Linked DNA regions of Stegostoma tigrinum. The protein of the gene in region 1 interacts with the protein of each later gene in a pairwise test. Links are inferred from orthologs where the notes say so. Each region holds a gene or a part of one and is shown on either strand. Other genes may lie near its edges.

Region 1 (8,310 bases):
CGATGAAAATGTTACGCATTGTTACCTATTGCAAGGTAACTGTGGATCCAAGAAAAACAAGTCTGAATATTTTCTGCAAGTTGATAAACTAGGGACTGTGGAGGAGCAGCAATTTAAGAATCCAAATACTGTAATTGCAAGTATTAATACAGAATGGGCCTTCTGGAGGAGGCTGGAATGCAAGGCAAGTAAGTTATCGGTCAGTCTTTCGTTATAAAGGAAGCCCCAATACGAGAAATCAACTTAGCAAGTCACTTCTGAACTGCCTCCACTGTCGGTACATACTCCTTCAAGAGGGATCTTATGGCAGAGATGTAGTGCCCTTATCTCTAAGCCAGGAGGCCCAGGTTCAAGTCTCACCTGGTCGCCAAGTGTGTAACAACATCCCTAAACAGGTTGTTTAGAAAATATCTACACCCAATGCAAGAAATCAAAACTATTGCTGCTCTCCAAGTTTGGACTCACCATAGACCAGCACTGTTGTATTAAGACTTCCCTGCTTTCACACAACTCCCTCGCAAGAAGCATTAATATTCCATTTGCCTTTCGAATTACTTATAGGGCTTGCCTAACGTTTTCTGATTGATGGACAAGAGGACCCATGTCCTTACTTTGGGCATATAACTGCTGGCGATCTGGATAAGTGATTTCGTTAAAACATTTAAGATTCTAAAGGGACTCTATACTGAAGGGTAGATTTTGAAAAGATGTTTTCCCCTCTTGAGCAATATATAGCTGGAGGTCAGGATTTCTAAGTAAGTTCATTCCCATAAGACAGAGATGAGGATTATTTTTTATCCTGTACCAGAGGATTATGAATCCTTGGAATTCTCCATCCCAAGCAGCAGGGGCATTTGGCTATTTTAGGCTACGTTAGACAGGTTTTACACAAAGACGACAAAATTTGAAACTCTCCTCAAAGATTTTTGGCTGTTATAACAATTAGAGCTGAGCACTGGATATGGATTTCTATTTAATAAGGCTATAATGGGATATGCAGCAAGTGCTGAAATGCAGGCACAAATCTGAGGCTAACAGTGCTACCGTCTGCTCTTCAAGACATCCCAAAGTGCTTTATAGCCGATTAATAACAAGAAATGTAATCACGTTTTAATATAGAAAAATATGGCTGCCATTTTTCCCATAGCAAGGTCAAATTAACAGTAAAATTACAGCAATCAGATTTGTAGTGATGTTGTTGAAGAAATGAATGCTGGCCACGACATTGCTGTTCTTCAAACATTTCCACTGAAGTGTTTACATTCATTTGATGTGTCCAATAACGAATGCAGAGAATCAGAAGATTTTTGGGGCTTTGACAGTTACTACGAAGAAGTCACTGAGTAATTACAAACTAGCTAATGGGTTCCCAAAGCATTAATTTAGGTCATTCATTAATGTGGATAACTTCCTGTTATAACATGTTGAATCATCTCCACCACTGTACCAAGAAATCAAAAACAATATTATTATTTAAGAATGAACTGCATGTTGCAATGAGAAAATTTCAGATCTATTCTGATTGGATGGTTCACTAAATGGCCTTCCTGCTCTGTGTACCCTTGAAACAGACAGTGCATAAATGCACTCAGGAGCTTCATATTTGCACAGCCTGCCTTGCATTTATATACTTAAAAGAAATATTGACCGTGCACTGCAGCAAAATATTGGACAATATCTTAACAGTTCTGGTTGTTTCATTGGGCTGATTAATATAACTATCCAATATGCTGAGGTATGAACATTATGGCATCTTGCCTTTATGTAGCACGTGGGACATTACAAGCAATCTTAAGAACACACAGCAGGCTCAGATAAAAATGAACATCAAGCCAGAGGAAGATATGAGGACAAGAGATTAAACAGTTGGGTTTTGAAAGCAAGAGTGGCAAAGTGATTCACAGTGGGTAGCACTACTGCCTCACAGACCAGAGACCAATTCCACCCTCAGGCAACAACTGTGTGTGGAGTTTGCACACATTCTTTGTGTGTCTGTATCGGTTGCCCCGAATGCTCCGATTTTCTCCCAAGTCCAAAGATTTGCAGGTTAGGTGGATCGGCCATGCTAAATTACCCACAGCGGCCAAGGATGTACAGGGATGGGGTAAAGGGGTGGGTCTGAGTGGGATGTTCTTCAGCAGGTTAGTGTGGACTTGGTGGGCCAAATGGGGGTCTGCTTCAACACTGCGATGGATTAGCCATTGGAAATGCATCTTTTTTTAAAAAGTTCATACAAGGGATGGGGGCATCTCTGACCAGGCAGCATTAATTGCCCATCTAAAATTGCACAGAGGGCAGTTAAGTGTCAACTAAACTGCTGAGAGTCTGGAGACACATGTAGGGACAGACCTGGTAAGGATGCAAGTTTCCTTCCCAAAAGGACATCGGTGAACCAGATGGCTTTTTCCAACAAGTGAAAATAGATTCATGGTCATCATTAGACTCTTAATTCCAGATATTATTGAATTCAAATTCCACCATTTGCCATGGTGGGATTTGAACCCAGGTCTCCAGAACATTATCTGGGTTTCTGGATTAACAGTCCAGTGATAATACCACTAGGCCATCACCTCGCCTTACAGGGATGGGGTAAAGGGTTGAGTCTGAGAAGGATAATAAAATGTGAGGCTGGATGAACACAGCAGGCCAAGCAGCATCTCAGGAGCACATGGTCTGCTTCCACACTGCAGGGATTCTATGAAGTCTTCAAGGCACTGAAAAGGTGAAAAAGCAAAGACCTGTGGAGATAATTCCAAAGTGCTGAGTCCAGGCAGCTGAAAAAGTTGATGTCTATGCTCAGGCAAAGTAAGTGGACTGGCAACAGATAATCATAAACATTCATTTTTCAGGCCTATGTAATGTATCTACCTGCACATTTATGTACAATATTATGTTTTATGCAAATGTATGCCCCAATCATGTTTGTTCAGTACAACAGAATATAAGATGAAGTATGCCTGAAAATTATTTTGCATCAGCAAATCCAATAAAACCATATTCGACTTTTCATTCATTTCATCTTGACAGTAGGTTTATTTCTGCACTTTCAACAAATCAGAACAAATTACTTTTACAATATATTTAATGTGAATTTACCATTGAGCAATCGGGATAGAACAGACCAGTAGAGTTTCCTTTTTCATTATTCTAATATCACCTGGCTTTTTACTCATTTTGAGGGAAGGGCCGGGTACGCCATGTTGTTAAACTGTGTATTTTCATTTATTGCACGACGAACGGCTGGGAACAGATTTTGAATTTCCGCACAAAAATGTAACCCTGATCAACGTAAACCAACTGCGATTTTCACCCTCCCAGCCGATTCGTCCATTCATTCATAATTACACGGAACCGCTTTGATGTTTTTTTAAACTCGGAAGCGCCGCGCTACCCCTTTCCGCCAAGAGGAATGGACACAGCGAGCGATCGGTGAGGCTCCCCCGCGGCCTGCAAAACGCCCCGCCCGCTAACCATCAGGCCATCATCCAGCCGCCTCTCACAACACGCGCCCATCTTGCAGAGGTCGCTGTGCGGCCCAGTCACGGACAGAAAGCCCGGTCGCCGGCGGGGGCAGCAGCTGCCACTCGGGCCTCTCATGGAGCAGGGCTCGGATGAGGCGAACCTCTCCCTCATCGCGGACTCGGCTCCAGTAAAGGGGCGACTCTGTTCATTGCAGTTCCCCCACTCACCATGTTCTCGGCTCCGCTCTAGCGCGGCCCTCACGACCCGCAGTAACAGCGGCGCACGATTCGACTGGCTCAGCCCTGCAATGGGGCAAAGGTCAAAGGTGACAGGATCTGCGTCCCCGACGCGCACTACTGATTGACAGCGCTATTCACCTATCAGACGCAGAGAACTGTCTAACCCCGCCTCTCGAGCTGCTTCACCGTGTTATCAACCAACGAAGTGACGACTATAATCCAGACCCGCCCCTTCGTTCCGAGTGACAGCGCTGTTCGCCAGACAATGTAACAGTTCACCCCGCCTCTTCCCGCAGAATGATGGACAAGTAACCAATCAAGTGCTGGAAATATGTTCCACGCCCCTCGCTTTGAGTGACAGCACTTTTCACCTGTAGACTACGAGGAAAGGACGTTCGTCCCGCCCTTCACCCGGTGTCGGCATTATCACCAATCATGTGCCGCAAAGCGGAACGCCAGTCCCGCCCTCCCCACACTCTTCTTTTGATTGGATAAAGCAGGCGGCCGGGGGTGGGCTCTTTTCACGCTTTCGGTTGGTTCGACAGAGAGTTGGAGAGAGAGGCGGGAAGCAGGTTTCAGGTGGTGGTTCTCTTTCTGTGGGAGACGGAGCCGTGGCTCTGTACTGGTAGTTTTCGGCGGTAGTAGTTACTGCTCGATGCCGCGGTACTTGAAGCGGAGCGGGATGTCCGCTCTGCCCGAAGGCCTGTGGCCAGACGGTGGGGAGCTGATAGTCTGTGAATCGGACGTCGATTCGCCTGGCGTTCGTTCACAGACAGATTCCGCGAAGGAGGCCGTGGTCCTACCGAGTCACAGGACGAGGCCAAACCGGGCACTGGTGCCGACTGCCTATAGTGACTGCCGGAGTAAGAAGTGGCCGGCCCGGCTGTGCTCAATGCTGTGTTGTATCATCGTGATATCGTTCATTGCCTTTCTTCTAGCGGTTATGTACTTAATCCTCAAAGGTACTGATGTTCATCAGTTGATTTCTTGAGGAAGCTTTAAAACTTTGTTAAGCATTGAACTTTGAACTTTGGTTTAAAATAACCTGAATTACGATTGCAGATTTGCGCTGGGATAGAGAAAACAGTGAGGATGGTGTTAAAACCGGTATTTTAGGTAACGTATCCTTTTGAAGTTGGCACTTTGGTTTAAATGTACTAGCCCCTCCCCCTTTTTCTTGTCACTTTTTAACAACTTTCTTTTTTTCAGGCCTTTGGAGTGCGTTGATTTTGGCTTTGACGGCTGGTTTCTCATGTTGCAGTTTCTCATGGACATTGACGTATTTTGATTCATTCGAACCCGGAATGTTTCCACCGACACCCTTGTCACCTGCTCGATTTAGGTAAATTCTGGTTTCTGATATCAAATGGAGCTTTATATTTTCTTAAGGGTAAAATGTCCCAGATGTAAATAATATGCACATGAGACAGTTGAGGATAAATAGAGTCAGAACGTACTTGGTAATCTGAAAACCCTGGTAATTTTGCAGTTTTCCCACCCTCTCTGACCTAAGTGTTTGTTTGTCTCCTGTACACGTGTGTTTACTGAACTAGGTTGATATCATGTTTGATCCTGAACTCGGCTTTTCATTGTCTCAGTTTATATCAAGGCTATATATTGCTGTGTCTTAGACGGCTACGCTCGGCCTTGTCTTGTTCCATTCCCAACTTACTTCACACTCCTCAATTCACCATTTCCGGGCTGAATCCCCTACTTGCAAGTTACCCATGGACTTTCATTTGCAAAGTTGAATCCTCTCTCAAATTGAGACATCACCCTTATTGCATGCAATTGGCTACTTTCCCCCAAAATGTTGACTTGAAAGTTCTTGTCTATGTGTACAAATCTTTGTGTTCTTGACTTATTCTGACCCCAAGGATAGCTGTACATGCCAAACTTTATTGTCCTCCCCGTCCTCCCCCTCCTCCCCCTCCTCCTCCTGTCTTTGAACAGTTGTCTGGGACCAACTATCTTGGATTTCCTGAATGACTTCCTTTGATTCCTTTTATTTCTGTAGCTAAGCTTGCTTCTGTTTGTTGCAATAACTTGTAATATTTAATATTTTTAAGTCTTTTTTTCTGAAGTGCAGTTCACAATGTTGGATGTTTGAAATGTGGCACTGTGGGTAAACCATGTCAGTGCTTATCTACATGAGGATCCATGATTGATGCAAGAAATCTGTCAAATATTAATTTGATTTGCAAGTGCTAGTATCCTGATTGGTAACTCTGGAAAAAATAATTTGCTCCTCAAATAAAACCAAAATGCTGCAGATGTTGGAAACTTGAAATAAAAATGCCTTGGAGAAACCCAGTGGGTGTGGGAGCATCTGTGAAAAGAAAAAGCGAATGTTTCAGTCCAATATGGCTCTTCCTCCTATCTACATATATATTTGAATCTATTACTTGAACAGATCAGAAAATGTGATGAGTGCTTTCTGAGAGAAAATTAATATGCTGAATGTGTATCTGATTTAGTTAATATTTAAACTTTTTAAACTTATGTTCATCTTGATTACTCAATTTCTGGCATGGGGTACATCCAATTATGTTTTTTAAATAAAGTAAGGATGGTACCAGCTCTGTTTTAAAACAAAATAATGATCGTGATGCTAAAGCAAAGGAATCAACCTCACTACAGTTTAAAATGAATGAATACAATGCAGTAGTAATATGCAGAACATGTCATAGGTTCAGAGCATTAATTTAAGTAGAGATGTGGTGGATACCAATGGAGAGAGCAATATTACACGAGTGAAATAATTTCTTAAATCCTGAAATGTCAGGGGCATCTCAGAATTTTTTTACAAATCTGCAGTTTAGACAGCACAGACATTTTTTTTTTTTTGGTTTCCACTTGCTGTTGCCAGAAATCTCATAAGAATTGCTTTGCTCCAGTTCATGTGTGCAGCTCCAAAATTAAAATGGTTGAATAACAAGTGAAGTTACTGTTTTGTGTGTCTAGGGCACACACTGCCCTGCACTTGAGCCAAAAACAAGCTTCACCTGGAAAGACAAACTTACTCTCATTTTCATCGGAAATATGACCTAAATAGCACTGGTAGGTTGTGCTTCCAGGATCTTGTATGAAAGGGCATTCTACAGACAAATATCCACTTGCCTTTGCTTGTATTTTTTAAAAAAGACAAACTATTACCCTCACCTGTCCTGGCCCAAGTTTGTTATTTTGGTGTTCTTTAATATTTCTGTCAGGGACCCGGGTTCGATTCCAGCCTCGGGCAACTGAGTGGAGTTTGCACATTCTCTCCTGTGTTGATTTTTTTCTTCTCGGTTCTCTGGTTTCCTCCCATAATCCAAAAATGCACAAGTTAGGTGGATTGACCATGCTAAATTGCCCCACAGTGGCCAGGGATATGAAGGTTAGATGTGTTAGCCATGAGAAATATTGGGTGGGGAATGGGTCTGTATGTGATGCCTATCAGAAGATTGGTGTGGACTCTTTGGGCCGAACAGCCTATTTCCACACCGTAGAGACTCTATGATGATCTTAACTTGTCAATCAATTAAATTAGATAATCCTGATCAAAATATCTGTTTTGCCTCGATCAGATCTCCTCCAACTTTATTTTCCAATGAAAAGCTTTGCAAATCTGTTGTATAAGTAAATCTCTTCTGCATTGGTTTGCTATGCCTCTTCAAGGCCATAAGATGTAGGAACAGAATTAGGCCATTTGGACCATACAGTCTGTTCCACCGTTCAATCATGTTTGATATGTTTCTCAACACCATTCTCTTGCCTTCCTTTCTTAATCTTTCATGCCCTTGCTAATCAAGAACCTATCTATCTGTCTTAGACACTCAATGACTTGGCCTCCATGGCCCTCTCTGGCAATGACTTCCACATTAACCACCCTCTGGTTGAAGAAATTCCTTCTCCTTTTAGTCCCTTCATTCTGAGGTTATCATCTAATCTCTAGTTGTAGTACTAGTCTCTCCTAGTAGTAGAACCATCTTCTCCATGCCCACTCTATCCAGAGCCCTCATTATTCTGCAAGTTTCAATCAGATCCTACTCTTAGCTTTTTAAACTCCATTGATTACAGACCCAAAGTCCTCAACCACCCTGGGATCTCTGGATCATTTGTAATGCCAGCTCATCCACCCCTTAGATGTGGGGTCCAAACTGCTAAATATTCCAAAACAGCCTGAGCAGCATGTTTTTGCTATTCTATTCTTAACCCTTTTGAAATGAAGGTCAACATAGCATTTGTCTTCTAACTGCCAACTGAACCTGCATGTTAGTTTTGAGATAACAAGGTGCAGAGCTGGATGAACACAGCAGGCCGTGCAGCATCAGCAGAGCAGGAAAGCTGACATTTTGGGCCTATTTCTGAAGAAGATTTTCTGAAGAAGGGTCTGGGACTGAAATGTCAGCTTTCCTGCTCCTCTGATGCTCAGTTGTGTTCATCCAGCTCTGCACCTTGTTATCTTAGATTCTCCATCATCTGCAGTTCCTACTGTCTCTTAGTTTTGAGAATCCTGAATAAAATTCCCAAGTCCCTTTGTGCTTCAGATTTCAAAAACCTTTCCTGTTTGCAAAACGGTCTGCTCTGCTATTCCTACCAAAGTGACACTTTCCCACAATGTATT
Region 2 (8,976 bases), on another chromosome or scaffold:
GCTTTTTGCTTAAAGCTAGTGAAATTGTGCAGTGTCACTTTTTTTGACTAAACAAAGAATTTATCTTGATACACCACTTAGTCATTATAGTGAAAAGGGAATGCATTTTCCCCAACATCCCGCGCCCCCCATCCCCACCCCCACACATACACAGTGACATAACAGGCTTAGAATTTAAACTTCCAATCACTTTCAATTTCAACTATGCAAGAAACATGTTCCATTTTCCCATTTACACATTTCTATGGAATTAAAAGTTACTAGCTTCAATTAATCAGATATACAAATTCCAACAATGCAGTATTTCTTAGAACTCTTTGCACCTTAGAAAATCAACATTTGTAACTTATTTCTTGTTTTTCTACTACATGTTCATATAGTGGTAATGTAATGAGCAGTTTTAAATAGATTCAGGTCTAACACCGCTCTTCACCCAGACTCATACTGCCAATTTTTTAGTTATGTGTTCCTTGTGTCGGAGTCTCCAGGCTGCCTTCCTCCAAGGTGGGAAACAGCATCAAAATATTGCAGAAGTCATGAACACTTCAATGAGATCCAGAATGTTATCATGGTGTAGAGCTGGATGAACACAGCAGGCCAAGCAGCAGAGCAGAAAAGTTGACGTTTCAGGCTGAGCTGCTTCTTCAGAAATGGTCTAGGCCCGAAATGTCAGCTTTCCTGCCCCTCTAATACTGCTTGGCCTGCTGTGTTCATCCAGCTCTACACCTTGTCATCTCAGATTCTCCAGCATCTGCAGTTCCTACTATCCCAAAAGATTATCAGTTCGTTTTACTCAAATTCCTTTCATCTATTTGGTCAATTCTCAAACTTCCACACTTCAATTAGCAATTTTGCAAGCTAAGTGAAGGTACCTTTATATCAGCTGTTTCAGCCTCAGTTACAAAAGAAACCAATGTGTGTCTGCTCCCTCCTTGCACTTACATGGTTATAACAAAACTCAAAGTCCCAGTGCCAGAGCCCATACTTTAGACTGAGAACTTGATACTATACAAGAAGAGTGCAATCTTCAGAAGGAAACCCAGTCTCCTTCCAACAGCAACACTCCTATATAGTACTAAAAGCAATTATACTGGATCACAACAGAACAAAGTTAATTAACAATGATACATCATTCTTGGTCGACCTTATTTCAGAATATTATGGCAAAGGAGAAATATTCCCTAACTTAATCTGATGTTCAACAGCTATGAATTTAACATGCAGTATGACAAAAATGTATTATGACTTCCTACCTTAGCGCTAATTAATGTTTTATTCCCAATCTAACTTACAGAATTTCCTTTCACCAGACAATCCATTGTTATTTTTGTTTTGAGTTCATGTTCGCTCCAATGTGCTCAAGGATTACAACCCACTAAGTAGAGATTTATGTAAGAAATCACTTGCACTACACAAGTCACCATTTGTCTTCCACAGCTTAGGGTAGAAGCATTAGCAGGCTACTTGATCACAAACTTTATGCCAGCCCCAAGAATATTCCAGCAGGAATAACTGGGCAGTAATACATTCTTCCTGTTCATCCTTCCCCAAAATTTGCCACTGTGACCGAGTATAGCAGTGTTACACGGACTATGCTGATCAGTATGCCTCACAACAGCACTGTTTTCCTCAATTGGTCAACAGTGAAGATCAGATACAAATGATTAAGAGGAACCCTGAAAGCTTGGTAAAGTTAAGGAATTTTTTTTGAATATTAAGAAACACTGGATTTGAAGAGAAGGGCTTACCTTTTGCCTCTTAGCTGGCGCAAATGATGAAATACATTTATCACATCTCTCACACGACGAGGTGCTTCCTCTATTTTGGATGCAAGATTGATACAAGCCATTGCAACAATCTGTAAAAAGAATCATTTTGATTATGAGCTAATTGGCTAAAATATTAACTCCACAAACAGTGGATTACTTTGCAGTAAAAACATATCACTTAAAACAATCCTTTTAGGCTCGCTTTCAAAGGCAAATTGATATTTAGGCATCCAGAGATCAACTTGCACCTTATGTTCTCTTCACAACCTAAGGCAATATTAACCTTTTTCTTAAAGCAAAACATGACACAAGATGTTTAATACCAAAGCATGAGGGACAACCCAAAGTTTGAAGGATCACTAACGAAAAGTAGCATTGTGTAGGAGTGAAGCTAAAGCAAGGTTAGAAGTCACAGTACAATGTACAAAGATTTGCTTAAACTCTACACCACAAAACTACATGTTTGAGGAAGTTTGAGGAAGGAACCCTGCTGGAACTAGTGCTTACATCAGAAGATTGAAGAATAAATTATTCTCCTTCAACATAGACAAACGTTTCCACTGCCTACATTTGAGGTTTATGAATAAAATGTAGTTTGAGGATCAATGATTACAGCAGAGGTCATTAGTTCACTAACAGCCGTTCAAATTGTCTGACACCCCTGAGGGTTACCACTGGCGTAAGAATTTAATCTACGCTTGTTACTCAATTCCCCCTTTCTGTTCTATTCCATACATGGTGTCCAAAAGACAATCTGCGACATGCAAGCATGTGATCAGAAACACCACGTCACAAATTGTGCTGGAACTTTTAAACTCAGTGAAACCCATTCCCAGTAACTAATGTAAAGATCAACTGAAAAACCGCATAAAAAACAGTAATCTATCAGACAAAACACTAAGGTTATGTAACCAAGGCAATGAAGAGTTAAAACAAATCAGCGCCATCAAATTTAGCTCCATCTCAAACAGCCACTTACGTTTACCACAAGAGATACAGAATCTGAAACGTGAGACCCATTTCACTTCAAACCTAATCTAACGCCAAGAATCCAACACCACACGTTTTCGGGGTACGTTTAAAAGTTGAAATTGCGATCCTCACACTACCTCCACGTTAGGGGAAGATGCCTCATTTACCGCACCCCCACCCTGAAACCGTGGATCACTTCCATTTTGGATAAACGACTCCACCCGGCCTCCATTTCCTGGGCTAAAACGATCGAATTCAAACCACCCAGAAAGCGGAACAGATCGGCCCAAAGGTTCCCCCACCCCCACTTGACGCCGAGCCGCCCGCCCATGGGACTCACCTCGAAACTGTGTTTGACGAAGGACTTGGAGAAGAAGAACCGCTGAAAGAGAACCTGAGCTGTCGCCATGGCCACCTGCCGGGGGGGGGGTGGGGGGGGGAAGAGAAGAGAAAGAAAGGACACAGAAAACAGAGCGTCAGCGACTGGAGACGAGGATAAGGCGCGGCCTTCGCGTCGCGGCCCGAGCCGGAGCCCGCCAAGATCCACCCACCTGCGGTAAACGCAGCAGGATCCCGGCCGACTGGATCAGTTCACAGCCCAGGATCCGCAGGTCGGTCTCCACCTCCAGGTCCAGGCCATCCTGCATGGATGGTGTGGGTGAGAGCTTCTCCTCGGGGATGAGGGAGTTGTCGATAGTCAGGAAGACAGCCGAATAAACCTTGTCTCCGATCAGAATGCCCTCGCCCGCCGCCATCTTGTCTTGAAACAAAAAATAAAATGGGGAAAAGGAAGGAGCAGGCGCAGAGCGCGGCGCCTAACCCCACGGGACAACGCGTTGTATCAACACGCCTCAGAATATAGATCCGCCCCAAACACAACCAAAACCGGCAAGGGAAACGCCTTGAAATCTACCTGGGAGGTGCCCAAATCCCGGGATCACGCTTTCGAATTGTTCCGTGATTAACAAACTCCGACTGCGTGAGATGACACTCCGGGTTTCGCAACAGTGACGGGGAAATGCCGTGACGTAATTTCTGGGAAGTCTCTCGGCGCTTCACCACTGCGGAACGAGCGAGGCCCGGAACCTGTTTTGCCGGCGCGCGCATCGGAGCTGACGTCAGTCACACCCTCTCCATTGTGACGCAGTTAGTCGCTGCCTATTGGCTGGCGCACCGTGATGTTTTCATGGAATCCAGAGACTATTTCTGCGGCAAGGTGTTGTTTCATTGAAACTGCATGTTCCTTTGGGTGAACGTACAGAAAGGCAGCCACAGTCACTAAAAACAAGATCACGTACTGTACAGTGTTAACAGTGCTTTAATTCATTTATTCCTGTATTTAATCCTTATCAATGAATACTTTCAGATCAAAACTGAGACCAATAGAATGCAAGAGCCATTGCAAGTCTTCGTGGGGTACTTATTTGATTGATTTGGCTTTCACCAAGTAAAAGAATGCCAATCTGTTGGAAACACTGAAGGAGTCAGGCAACATCTGTACATAATCTGTTCCTTCAGACACCCAGCGCAGAAGCAGTAGTCAAATCAGACACCAATCCCGTGGGCCTTTTATGTGAGGGTTGCCTAAGGTGTCCATCCCCAAGCCAAGGTTTGGTATAGCCATGGGGGAAGCAAATTTTGCCTGCCTGCCTCACTTTTGCAGCTTAGTCGGTACCCTGTGAAGAAGAACACACCAGTACCTGGCACCAATTTCCAGCATAGCAGCTTCCTGACACCTAGAACAAATCAATTACACACTTGATTCAACAATGTTAAAATCTCAAAGTTCTCATATTTCAGCATTGGAATGGTCTGCTTCCACTGAACACTCTGGGAAAAGAGTTTATCACATTAGATTAAAATTTATGTTTTTCTTGTCTCTACTGGTTTGTCACAAGAGGAGTTGGACCAGTATTTATCATTTTCCAGTTTTACTGGTTTTTCCTCTGGGTAGGATCAAACAATCTAAATTATGAAGACCGACTGGTAAAACCTCAGCAATTAAATTTAAAAATATTCTTGTTTAATCTATTCCATTGTCATAGATACTTTCATATCTCTATATTACTAGCTGTCAATCACTTTTTCAGATTGAAATGTGCAGTTTTATCATTTCTCTCTTCATAAGAGAGACTGTTTGAATCCACCCAGAAGGGGAACAAAAAAAAACACAGCTGGGGAATGAGACATACTGGTCCAACTCACCTTGTACACTTAAAAATGGAGGACCAATACAATTATGCTGTAAATATTAGTATAATTAATTGGTTTGCCCCTTGGTAGGGATCAGCTTTGTGGTTCTACACACCTGTAGGGGCTTGAATTCTCCCCTTTGTCCTCTGCAACACAGCTGGATGGCAAAATAAGAAATTGATCTTAAATAACAATTTAAGTGTAATAAAGCATCATTATTAATTTCACAGGTTTTCTCTTCACTCCAAGGGGGTGACGTTGTAGCCATTTTGCCTTAAATAAAATGTGTAGAACGGAAACAGCAGTAGGCCAAACTCCTCTCCAAAAACAAAGCCATATCACAACATAGAACCTCCTCCAAAAAGCTGTAAATTAGGAATTCGCTCTTAAAAGCAACCTCAAGTAGTATCTAATTATCAGTGTATTACATAGACTATTTCATACATAGAATCCCTACAATGTGGAAACAAGCCCTTCATCCCAACAAGTCCACACTGACCCTCAGAGCATCTCACCCAGACCCATCCCCCTATGGCCCACCTAATCTACAAATCCCAGAACACTATGGGCAATTTAACATGCCAATCCACCTATGATTTTAAAATTTTCAAAAGCTTCCATAGGAAATTAATGATATGTATAGTTACTAAGAGTGTTGTGACATTAGGACTGAAGAGGTAGATCATTTGAAAGTGACAATACTAGGCTTTTTTTTGCACTTGTTTCCTAATCATATACCCAGTATTGGCCATTTTCGCAGTGGGGGTGGGGGGAGAAGAAACACTGTGGCTGAATTCAACCTACAGAGGTGGATAGAGCTTTGTCAACAATATGTTGAGATGGTCAACAGGCCTTTTCCAGTCTATTTCCAGTCAGTGCACTCAAGGACAGATCAACAGCCTCAAGATGAGAACCCAGAAGCAGGCTGGGTAGCTTCTCCAGAGAGCTACACAGGCCCTACTTTGCTTAGAATCAGAGTTGTACGACACAAACGGATCCTTTGGTTCAACTCACCCATGCCGACCAGATATCCCAAATTAGTCTAGTCCTATATCCCTCTAAACCCTTCCTATTCATATCCTCATCCAGAGGCCTTTTATGTTGTCATTGTAGCAGGCTCTACCACTTCCTCCAGCAGTCCATTGCATACACAAACCACCCTCTACATGAAAAAGTAGCCCCTTAGGTCCCTTTTAACATCTTTCCTCTCTCACCTTCAGCCTATGCCCTCTACGTTTGGACCCCCACACCCAGGGAAAAGACCTTGTGAATTCAGCCCATTCCATGCCCTCACACCCCATGATTTTATAAACTTTTATAACATCACCCGTCAGCCTGCAATGCTCCAGGGAAGATAGCCACAGACTATTCAGCTTCTTCCCTATAGTGAAAAAGCTCCAAACCTGGCAACATCCTTGTAAATCTTTTCTGAATCATTTCAGGTTTAACAACATTCTTTCCTGTAGCAGGGAGACTAGAACTGAATGCAGAACTACAGAAATGGCCTAAATGGCCTGCACAGCTGCAACATGACCTCCAAACTTCTGTACACAATACACTGATCAATAAAGGCAAGTGCACCACCAAACATCATCACCACCCTATACCTACAACTCCACTTTCGTGACGGTGACAGTGACAGTGACATGCTTTTACACAGTGTCTGAGAGGACACTGCCTTACTCAACCTCCCTCACCGTCATTTATCTACTACTGCAACTGGGTGCACCTGTGAAGCTAGAAGAACTTTCATTGGTCCTCCAGCTCTCATAACACCGTCACTTCCTTTCATTGAATGGGAAGCCTGTTCCATACCTATTAAGGGCCCACGTAGCAATCTTAATTTCAATCAGTATCCTATCACAGGCAGGTTTGGGAATGAAAGCAGTCCAGGTGACACCTGTTTTGCATCTCTGTTGGGAATATTCAACTGACAATTTCTGTAAATATTCTGATCTCTTTAGACACAGCCTCTCAATCCATGGATTAAGCCAAGAATTATTACTTTTGCCAGATGACAAAAACCCAGCTGAGACCAGCATCAAAGACTCTGAATTTCAGGAATATAATCAGATAAAAGAGATCAACACTGAGCCATAGAAGGAGATATTGAAACAGGTAATGGCAAAGTCACCATAGTGCCAGAGGAGATGGTGATGCTGTCATTAAAGGGAGACAACTGGCAATGAGTGTGAACTGGGGGTCGCCACACCTCAGGCAAGGTTGACAAGGCAGCACATTCATGGCAACCTCAACTAGCAAAGGAATTGCACCCATACTGTTAGCATCACTCTGTAAGCCAGCTGTCCCCTCCACTGTCGGCATTTTGTAGAGACCATTCGTTGTGTGACACCCTGGTCCATTCCTCCATCATTTCTTCAATCCTCATTGTACCTTTCCATACACAGGCAGAATTGTAACAGTTGCCCAGTCACTTCCTCCTTCCTCACTGTCCAAGGCCACAAACACATCCAGATAAAGCAGTATTACCCTGGTACCTCTTTACGATGTAGTCTCCTGCTGCTCCTACTGCGTTCTCTGCTCACAATGCAGTCTCATTTATGCTGGTGAAACAAAATGCAGATTAAGTGACCACATTGTGGAACAATTCTGCTCTGTCCCTAGGAATAACCCTGAACTCCTGAGTGCTTGCTACTTTAATAAACCAACTTGTATACATGCTAATGTGTCCGTGGACTGCAGTGGTTCAAGAAGGCAGCACATCACCCACCACCTTCTGAAGGGCAACTTGGGATGGCCAATAAATGCTGGCCAGCCAGTGACACCCTCATCCCATGAGCAAACTTTGTTTATTAAACCCTTCTGTCTTGGGCTTGACGATAAATCCAAGGGTGGGGAGATGTCGTCTTGCTAGGAACTACAGGCTGGCAATTTGGGAAGATGATGGGCCCTGTGGCAGGTTGGGGAAGATGCGGTGTCCGTAAGTGTCAGGCTGAGAGAGGAGAGCATCAGAGTACCAGTGATGCTTGTGGGATCTGGAGAATGATCAGGCCAGCAGGTTGTGGAAGGTGTCATAAGGAAAGGTATTGGGACTAAAATGCCAGACCTAGGGTGAGGGAGTGTCCGGTCCAAGGGGTTTGGTCTCATGTCCAGGGAATCAGGCTGGCGAGTTGGGGATGTGGTGGCAGATCCAAAAGGGAGTTATTGTTTTGGGGGAAACAGGTCAGTAGCTGAGGTCCTGGGTATGGTAGAGGATCATGTCAGTTGGTGGTGTTTAGTTGTAGGAGTGGTTGGGTGGGTGGGAGGGCTGGTGGTTCAGAGGTTTGGGTGTGTAAGAGGTTTCAGGGTAGTAATCAGGGTGTAAATGGTGAATTTGACATTTAGTTTAATATTTATGCAAGAGTTAGGATGGGTTTTGATCCTCTAACATATCCTAGCTGGAAGATGTAAAATTCTGACCTAAATAGACTCTCTTAGAGGGTTCCAGGTACGGAGTAAATGCCTGTCAGGATCTTCAATTACCCAGACAATTCAAATAGCATCTACTGTGTCTAAGGTTCTGCATGTTCCTAATGAATAATTCCAGTCCTTACCGCTGAAATAATTCTAGCTATTAGAGTACTGTCTTCCCCTCTTGTGTCCCTCTGCTTGCCCCCGTTGAATTTCATCTGCCATTGGTCTGTCGATTTTTTTTCTTTTCTTTTCTTTTTTTTCCTACAGCACCTGTGTTGTGTATATGTATGTATGTGTGTGTGTAATTCCAGTAACTCAGTGAAGAAACCATGTGCAAAAACTTCATTAATATTTCCACCACCAGGAAGACAACTATGTGCCCAGTGAACCAGTAACGAGTTGACCTGTCCATATACACATTTACACAATTACCAAATTAATTCCATAATATGTGTTCTTCGTTGCAATTCCACATGTACAGTGTGATTTTAAAATAGGCTGATTGCCTTGACTTTGTGAATAAAGATTACTGACATCAATTATAAATAACAATAATCTTGACGTCAATTCCTGAGACATTCGACTTCAGACCATCCCACCAACATTTGGTTCTTAGCGTTGATTAGAT

What was found.
Region 2: the proteins of prpf40a (region 1) and ccnl1a interact in binary tests that used the Homo sapiens proteins (3 or more experiments, as listed by UniProt). The link is inferred for Stegostoma tigrinum from reciprocal best matches to the Homo sapiens genes PRPF40A and CCNL1.

What each region holds. Positions count from the first base shown.
Region 1 is NC_081360.1:54,268,478-54,276,787, forward strand, and holds the start of prpf40a (pre-mRNA-processing factor 40 homolog A), read right to left. Parts: upstream 3,795-8,310; 5' UTR 3,693-3,794; coding exon 3,690-3,692; intron 1-3,689. Other genes in the region: arl6ip6 (ADP-ribosylation factor-like protein 6-interacting protein 6), read left to right, coding at 4,357-4,663, 4,764-4,817, 4,911-5,043.
Region 2 is NC_081367.1:32,459,494-32,468,469, reverse strand, and holds the start of ccnl1a (cyclin-L1a), read right to left. Parts: upstream 3,502-8,976; 5' UTR 3,497-3,501; coding exon 3,293-3,496; intron 3,157-3,292; coding exon 3,082-3,156; intron 1,859-3,081; coding exon 1,749-1,858; intron 1-1,748. UniProt on the Homo sapiens protein: Involved in pre-mRNA splicing. Functions in association with cyclin-dependent kinases (CDKs). Inhibited by the CDK-specific inhibitor CDKN1A/p21. May play a role in the regulation of RNA polymerase II (pol II).